Saccharomyces cerevisiae S288C: one gene and its partner. Changing the gene in region 1 together with any one later gene gives a genetic interaction. Each region holds a gene or a part of one and is shown on either strand. Other genes may lie near its edges.

Region 1 (5,987 bases):
TTGGTGATATGCAATTTCTTGAGGCGCAAAAGGTTGATCCTGAAAGCTTTTGTGATAGACTACCTTCAAGCAAAGCGAACGTAAACGGCAAAGATGGATACCAGCAACCACAACCAAGACCACGACTCCCACGTGGCGGCACAGAGGGAGAACGACAATAATTATATGCCACCTTCCCCCTCCATGAGCGAGAGTTCTATGATTTTTGAAAGAAATGTAGAGGACCCATCATACCTTTATAAAACGGTGTCAAACAACGCTGCAAACTCTCTCTCTAGGCAGAGCAGCAGGACCAGTTTGTTCAATCATAATAATTCTAGTAATAGGAACTTCCATAACTTAAGCCAGAGATCGTCTGCTGTGAATCTACATTTGCAACCTTCTAGGACTAATGAGTCAATAGCATCGTACCAGACATACAATCCGGATTTTGTTGTGCAGACTCCACTGGATCACCGTCGTACCTTAGAGAATTTCGTCCCTCCTGCATTAGACGCTGGCTGTTCTATTGTAACTGACGACACGACTGGCCTTGATGACGTTGATATGGTTTATTCGAGAAGGCCATCTACCATCGGCCTGGATAGAGCCCTAGGTAGGACAAGAAGTCTTTCGTCACAATCTTTTGATAACGAAACGTCGCCTGCGCATCCAAGATCTCCCAACGACCATGGTTCAAGACTACTAAGGTTTTATTCCTACGCTGACATGTTGTCCGATGACAACAATAACAACGTTAGTAATGCGACATCAACATCATCAACTGCGAACCCCTTGAGAAGACCCCCAATGCAAGGTCACTACTCGTTCTCGTCGTCCCTTTTGAATTCTCCTTCTCATTTGCCTTCCCCCCCATCAGCTTCGGCATCACCACCTCAGCATATGAACTTCACCAACCCTTTCATCATATCTAGACGTTACTCTAACACAACGATCAACAATGCCAATGGGGGAACCAGCGCTGGAAGCACTACGGGGGCCGCACTATCAAGATCGCCATCGAACCAACAGTACTTACTTAAACAACAAAGGTCACCTTCAGGGAGCGCCCGTTCAAGAAGAAACAGCAATAGGCCCGGCAGTGCTGCCAACATTATGATCGGGAAACCTAAATCCAAATTCCATATGGAATCCAGTGGCAGTGAAGGGTTTTCTTCCGAAGAGGAGGACAACACTATGATTGAAAGAGATAAACTCAATCTAAAGCAAAAATTGCAGTCACAACTGGCACAACCACCATCAATTGCCAACATGGTTAACGATAATCACAATAATACTAATAAACACAAGAATACTATTAATAATAACATCAAAAATAGCCCTGCGTTCACAAACTCGAATCCAAGTTCAAAATCAAATTCAAACTCTACAATAACCTCTATGAATCCAGACACAACCAAATAAAGAAAACTGAAGGGCCGCGATTGTTCATTTCTTCAACCTTCTTCTCCTACTCTAAAAATTCATTTAAGTCTCTTTTTTCCATATATATAGATATATAACGGTATTTTATGTATGCACGTATACCCCAATAATGCCACTAATTTACTCCGTTTTCCAATCCATAATCAGCAAAGACCATATGTGATTTCAAATATAAAAAATGAGAAACATGTGAATATGTATATATGTTATGCGGGAACCAACCCTTTACAATTAGCTATCTAACTAGTCCTTTTTCGAGCTCCAGAATTTACCATCACCCTTATCATTCCATTCTTTGAATTTGTTCTTGGCTTCATCGTACTTTTTCAACGCTTCATCGTACTTCTTTTGGGCCTCATCTTTTAAAGCCTGCTTGTCATTGTCGACCTTGGAAGTCCATCCAGACCACCAGTGGCTGCCGTACTGTTTCAAGTCCTCCTTCGCCTTAGATAACGAGTCCATGGCATCGGACACGTTCTTATCCAGTTGTTTCTTTGAATTCTCATAATTCCATCTTAAATCGTCCATTTCGTCCTTGGAAAGTTGAGCGGCTGTTTCACCCCATCCTTCTAAACCTCTGGCTACCCGTTCAGCAATCTGTTGCTCGCTTTGCTCCCCTTTGTTGTAACCAAACCAGCCCTTTTCCTTGATCTTCTTCAGCTCGTCAAGACGTTTTTGCGCCTCGCTTGGCTCTGAAGAAGCATTTCTCTTGGCTTCCTCCAACTCTTCTCTACCAAACTCCTGTGCCGTATCACCCCAGCCTTGGACACTTCTTGCAGCGGCTTCTTCAGTATTAGCGTCACCCGTGTTATTCTTCAACAGGCGTTTCAAAGGATTACTGTTCCTTTCCTGTTGGTCTAGCTTGTCCGAAAGCTCATTAAAGTCTCTGGCTCTCCCGTACCTTTCGTACTCAATGGATGCTCTGTCCAGAGCGGCCTTCTTCTCTCTCATCACCGTGGACAAGAGCTCCTTCTCATTACGATCCACTGCCTCTTCGAAACGCTTCTTAGCAGTATCAAATTCCCCGATGGCTATGGCTTTCCTTCTTTCAGCCTCACTAAACCCCCAATTGAAGATGCTTTGCGAGGAAGAATCCTTGGCTTTTTGGCCTAGCTGCTTGCGTGTCTGAGCATCCTCTTCCGGTGATATCACACGCTTAGTTACCTTTGGAGCCTCTTCCCTAGCCTTTTGAGATACGCCCAGAAGCGCGTCTTTTAACGACAAGGCATCTTCCTTTATGCCTTGCTTTATGTTATGTAGCTTTCCCAACTGTGGGGGTGCTGAACTGCCGTACTCCTGGCCGTTGTAGTAAGCGGAGACGTTGCCCTCTCTTCTCTGACCCTTGGCCTTCTGTTCTCTGACCATGATGCTAGCTGTGATGGCAGCTGCCAATGCTGCACTGCCGACAATTATTCTTGATGACATCCTTATCTGCTTGTTTTATTAAATGATTAACGTTACTGGCCAATCAAAAATACCCTTTATTTCAAGAAAGGGCAAAGAAGCAGGACTTTAGCAAGAACCGTTTCCCCTTATATATACTCCTCTTCAAGGAACTCGACAAAATAAGGGTCAACAAACTCCTCCCTTAACCCACACGGGCCACCGGCGAGCTTGTGCTCCTGCGAATAGCAGTACACTATTGGTTGTTGCAAATCCTGACGATTCACTTTCAAACACCATGCAGGCAGGAGAGTCAAACAAGACTGTTTGCTGTGTTATTGTCACCGCTGATGGTTGTGATGACCACCGCTTACCTATGACGAGGGGCAACGTCTTCACATTTCATGTTTACCACCAATATGCCAATTATTTTAAGAAATCTGCATAACAGAAGGACGCCAGCTGGCCATAGCATTTATAGATTCCTGCATTAATGTAACCGTCCGCACACCGTATGTATCAGCTTGTCAATTATTATATGAAATGTATATATATTTACGAACTTCAATTTTGTCAACATATTTCTGGAACAAGACTGGCTGGAACGGCTCAGCACACACAGGACAGAATATCAAAATTCTCGAGTACTTTGAGAACCCCCTTCAAGTGAGGTACCACCCTTGGTTGTAGTCTTGTATATTAATCCTTCTTTTCTTTAGTATAAATCGATCCTTTCTATTATACAATTCGCCGGTAATTTTTCAGTGAAAAACGAGTTTTGCAGTCAAACCATTCCTGGATGTGCTATACAAAAAAAAGGTCCGAAGACGTGTAAAGGATATATAACGCCAGGTTGATCATCACTAACCATCATGTCTGATAATTTGTTATCTTTAGAGAATCCGGTGGTGCCTAGTCACTATGAGTTGCGTCTAGAAATTGACCCTAAGCAGTCGTCGCCCAATTTCAAAGGATCCGCCATAATCCATTTGAAATTCAATCCGAACTCCACCACCTTAGCTTCTATCGAAGACAGTTTTACCCAGTTCAAGTTACATTCCAAGGATTTGATTGTGTTGTCTGCACATGCCACCATAGGGTCTACTAAGTTTGATCTAAAAATTTCTCAGGACACTGGAAAGCATTTGTCGATTTTCAACTCTGAATCTCCTATTCAATTGTCCAACGATTGCCCTCTGATTTTGTCCGTGCAATACGTGGGTAAAATTCGTGACATAAAAACACATCATGATAAGACTTTTGGTATTTTCAAAACCAATTTTATGGATCGTAAAACCGGTACTGCCAATAATCACGTCGTTGCTACTCACTGCCAACCGTTTTCCGCTAGCAATATTTTCCCATGTATTGACGAGCCTTCAAACAAGTCCACTTTTCAATTGAACATTGCAACGGATGCACAATATAAAGCCGTTTCCAATACTCCTGTAGAGATGGTCGAAGCTTTGGATAGTTCTCAAAAACATTTGGTGAAATTTGCCAAGACACCTTTGATGACTACTTCCGTATTTGGTTTTTCTATTGGTGATTTAGAATTTTTGAAAACGGAAATCAAGTTGGAAGGTGATAGGACTATTCCCGTTTCAATTTATGCACCTTGGGATATTGCTAATGCAGCTTTCACTTTAGATACAGTCCAGAAATATCTACCTTTGTTGGAATCCTATTTTAAATGTCCATACCCTCTGCCAAAGTTAGATTTCGTCCTACTACCATATTTAAGTGACATGGCAATGGAGAACTTTGGTATGATCACCATCCAACTAAACCACCTGCTCATACCACCAAATGCCTTGGCCAATGAAACCGTCAGAGAGCAAGCACAGCAACTCATTGTCCACGAACTCGTTCATCAATGGATGGGCAACTACATATCTTTTGACTCGTGGGAATCTCTTTGGTTTAATGAGTCTTTCGCTACTTGGTTAGCTTGCCACATACTAGAACAGAATGGTGACCTATCCCATTATTGGACCTCGGAACCTTATTTACTACAGCAAGTGGAGCCGACCATGTGCAGAGATGCAGCTGACGTTAATGGAAGAAGCATATTTCAGATTGCGCAACGGAACACTGGCATAGATTCTCAAACCTCCGATATTTTTGATCCTGAGGCATACACAAAGGGTATTATCATGCTGAGGTCCCTGCAATTGGCTACAGGCGAATCTCATCTACAAAAGGGCCTGGAAAGTGTATTTGAAGATACTAAAACATTTCATGCGAGAAGCGTCAAACCAATGGATATATGGAATCATATCGGAAAATTTTTGAAGTCTCAAAATATTACAAACTTTGTTTCATCTTGGACAAGAACGCCAGGCTTACCTGTCGTTAAGGTCGAAGTAGAAGAGAAAGACGGGAAAACGCAAACAAAATTGACTCAACACAGATTTATCAATCAATTATCTACTGAAGAAAAGGATCAGTTAGAAGATGTCCCATATCAGGTACCCTTATTCGGGGTTCTGCCAGATGGTAAAATGGATACTAAAAATGTACTATTGACGGATAGGACCTTAAAGTTCGATTATCCTATCTTAGTAATTAACCATTTAGCCCAAGGTTATTACCGCGTTTCATATGAGTCCGAAGAGTGCTATGCATTGATTAATGATAAAATAACTGAGGAGACGTTATCCGAGATTGACCTTCGGAAGATTTTCTTAGACTTGTCGCAGTTTATTGGAGATGAGGGTTTCCAGAATTCTATTCATTTGCACGGTCTCTTTAAGATACTAAACCATATCGCTTCTCCTTCCACAAAGATTGCATCAAAATATTGGGATCCTCTTTCCAAGGGGTTGGAAGTTCTGCAAACGATCGATCGTGCCAGTTTAACGAGCTCTAAATTACAATCTTTCTTAAAGAAAAAAATTGTCATTCCCCTTTTCAATAAGATTGATTGGCCCCACGGTGAATTTGATAAAAGCACAAACCCTCACGAGTTGAAAGTCATGTCTCAAGTCTTGTTTTTAAATAAAAACTCCGCAAAATGTGCTGAATTGTGTCAAATTTATTTTAAACATCTATTACAGGGCCCACGTTCGAGCGTACCGTTAGAATTAGTGAACTCAATCCTTGTCGTCGTATCGCAACATTGTGCAAACATCAAGCAGTGGAAGAAAATATTCGATTTGGTGAAACGCAGTTCCTGT
Region 2 (3,090 bases), on another chromosome or scaffold:
CAAGAACCACAAATGAAAAAGCAAGAGGCGGATGAACCTGGCAGTGTTGAGTATAATGCTAGATTGTGGAGACGTAACAGAAATGAAACTATTATCCAGGAAACACAGGGGGAGAAAAAATTATCGATTTATGGGAATTGGTCCAAAAAATTGATTAGTTTAAATAACAAAAGTCAACCAAAACTGATGAAGTTTGCCCAGTTTGAAGATCAGCTGATTACTGCAGATGATAGAAGTACCATTACAGTTTTTGATTGGGAGAAAGGAAAGACTTTGTCCAAATTCTCCAATGGTACTCCTTTTGGCACAAAAGTTACTGACCTGAAACTCATTAACGAGGATGACTCCGCCCTTTTATTGACAGGTTCTTCAGACGGTGTTATCAAAATATACAGAGACTACCAAGATGTCGACACCTTTAAAATTGTATCCGCCTGGAGAGGCTTGACCGATATGTTATTGACACCTAGATCCACAGGTTTACTAACCGAATGGTTACAAATAAGAGGATCATTGTTAACAACTGGTGATGTTAAGGTTATCCGTGTCTGGGATGCGCATACAGAAACGGTTGAAGTGGACATTCCTGCAAAAACATCATCTTTAATTACATCCTTGACGGCTGATCAGCTAGCAGGTAATATCTTCGTAGCAGGGTTTGCAGATGGCTCCCTGAGAGTATATGATCGCCGTCTCGATCCAAGAGATTCCATGATACGTCGCTGGAGAGCTGGAAATGATAAGCAGGGAGTTTGGATTAACAATGTTCATTTACAAAGAGGTGGTTACAGAGAATTGGTCAGTGGAGCTACCAATGGTGTTGTAGAGTTATGGGATATAAGGTCCGAAGATCCGGTAGAATCGTTTGTTGATCAAAACGTAACTTCTCAGTACGGTTCGCAACAAAAACCAACGACAATGACGTGCATGCAGGTTCATGAGCATGCTCCGATAATTGCGACAGGGACTAAACAAATAAAGATATGGACGACATCTGGAGATCTTTTGAATTCTTTTAAAAACTCACATAATAATGGCGTAACAAGTACATTAGCCGCTACGGGAATCCCAAAGTCACTGTCCTACTCTTCCACTTCTGATGCATTTTTATCTTCGATGGCTTTCCATCCTCATAGAATGATGATTGCGGCCACCAATTCTCACGATTCTATTGTAAATATCTACAAGTGTGAAGACGAGAGAATTGATTATTTTTGATATGTGCCATTTCTTTTTTTTTCTTTCATTTAGCTGCAAAAGAGATATATATATATATATATATATAATCTATTATATAATAAAAGTCGAGTAAAAAATTGGTCTGATTGTGAATTTAACAGCTGGTCGCAAGTTCTGGAATTTGTTGTTAATTATTGTTTCATGTTCGTATAATAATACGATGTTTAGTAAAGCAGAAAGTTCAGAATATTAAAAGTCTGTTCCAATAGTGTAGCGGCTATCACGTTGCCTTCACACGGCAAAGGTCCCGAGTTCGATCCTCGGTTGGAACATTTTAACATCGATTTTTTTGTTTGTCATAGCCAGACCAATTACGACGTTTAGAGGCATGCACTTTGTTAAATATTTTTTCTCTCTCCTTCGACATATTTTTTTTCCTGTTTACGTAACATTCATCCCCAGTCTTTGTATCATTTTTTTTTTTTTTTGGTGATGCGACAGCAATTCTGGCCGACACAGTCGTTTTCAAAGAAAAACTACCACAAACTATGGAACATAATTGAAAACAAAAACATTTACTTATAACCTACATAATGATTGAAGATACTTCATTGATCTTTACCACCTTCCTCGTTGAAATCTTTTCTACCATAGTCAGTATTTTTGGGAATTTTATAAAAACGCAAATTTTATCGAAATGAATCAAGGTTACACACAGCTTTCCGCACCGGAACTGAAGGAGACTAAAACATCGAAGCTAAATAAAATGAACAACTTTCGAAGCTCTCCGATTGCTGAGATAATTAATAAGATACCACCAGATTGCGGGAAGATACAGAATACAACATTTCCTGAGTTCAATCCAGCGTTAAGAAGACGACAACACGAACAGTGGCCTGCATACGAAAAACCAATAAGAGTTACTGACAGTATGTCACCACAGCTTTCTTCAATCAATTGTTTGCCAAATTTGTATCCCCACGGTACGCTACCATTACCAAACCCTTATTTATCCTATTTAAATCACATTGAAAAAGTTAATTGCCAAGATGTCAAGTTTAGTAACTGGAGTGTTTTACATAATTCGAATAATGGATTTGAAATTCCGACATATTTCAGTCCACGGACAACACAAAACATGCCTTGTTCCGAAAAAGTTGAAAGCTGGCTTGAAAGATTACCAATTTTTGTGGGGTTCGACGGTTATTTATTTACAAACTGCTTTGATTATGAATATATGTTGGATTGGGAAGAGACAGAATTTACATTCGAGAAAACATCATGTATGGAGACGGATTATTCTAAAGCTTTAACCGATACTGATATTATATATATTCAAGAGAAAAAAATTGAAGCGTTGATAAGAAACCAATATCTGAAGGAGTATGAATTTTCTCAAAAAGATTTTTGAATTTTGAAGAAAGCCATTAATATTTAAATGTAATTTTGTGTAGAATTATAATAAATTGATGTTTATGTATAGATCTCTCGAAATATATTTAAGAATATATAAATAATAAATGTACAACAATAAGCATAGAACATGGAATGAGTGTTCAAACTATATTCGTTTGTTTTTTAGATAGGAGTTCTCCAGACGTTTTCATCCAAGTTTTGTTTTGCATCATTTAAAGCTGCAGCAAGAACTTTGCTTTCTTCACTTGCAGACTCCGGTTTGACTTGAGTTTTTTTAATGGAAAGATTCCTCAAACTAGCGGCATTGACATTTACATTTCTTTTCGTGCTTCTTAAAATCAAGGAATCATTTGATTCGAGATTCTCCTTCTTTATTTCAGGTTGCGATATCGATGGAACTTCTGCAGTTGAAGAGCTGATATTTTTTGCCTCTTTCTCTTCTTTTTCCTGAGCGAGAAGTTCAACTAATTGATCGGGCTCAAGTTCTTTCGCAGA

Evidence for each region.
Region 2: mutations in OM45 (region 1) and PFS1 together harm fitness more than expected from each alone (negative genetic interaction), as found in Saccharomyces cerevisiae (2 studies listed by BioGRID).

What each region holds. Positions count from the first base shown.
Region 1 is NC_001141.2:90,482-96,468, reverse strand, and holds OM45 (Om45p), read right to left. Parts: upstream 2,851-5,987; coding exon 1,669-2,850; downstream 1-1,668. Other genes in the region: VHS2 (Vhs2p), read left to right, coding at 94-1,404; TMA108 (Tma108p), read left to right, coding at 3,681-5,987.
Region 2 is NC_001140.6:474,127-477,216, reverse strand, and holds PFS1 (Pfs1p), read left to right. Parts: upstream 1-1,876; coding exon 1,877-2,590; downstream 2,591-3,090. Other genes in the region: ubiquitin-binding TORC1 subunit KOG1, read left to right, coding at 1-1,218; SSP1 (Ssp1p), read right to left, coding at 2,758-3,090. UniProt on the Saccharomyces cerevisiae protein: Involved in the pathway that organizes the shaping and sizing of the prospore membrane (PSM) during sporulation. Required to localize MPC54 to all four spindle pole bodies, and localize DON1 and SPO14 to four prospore membranes.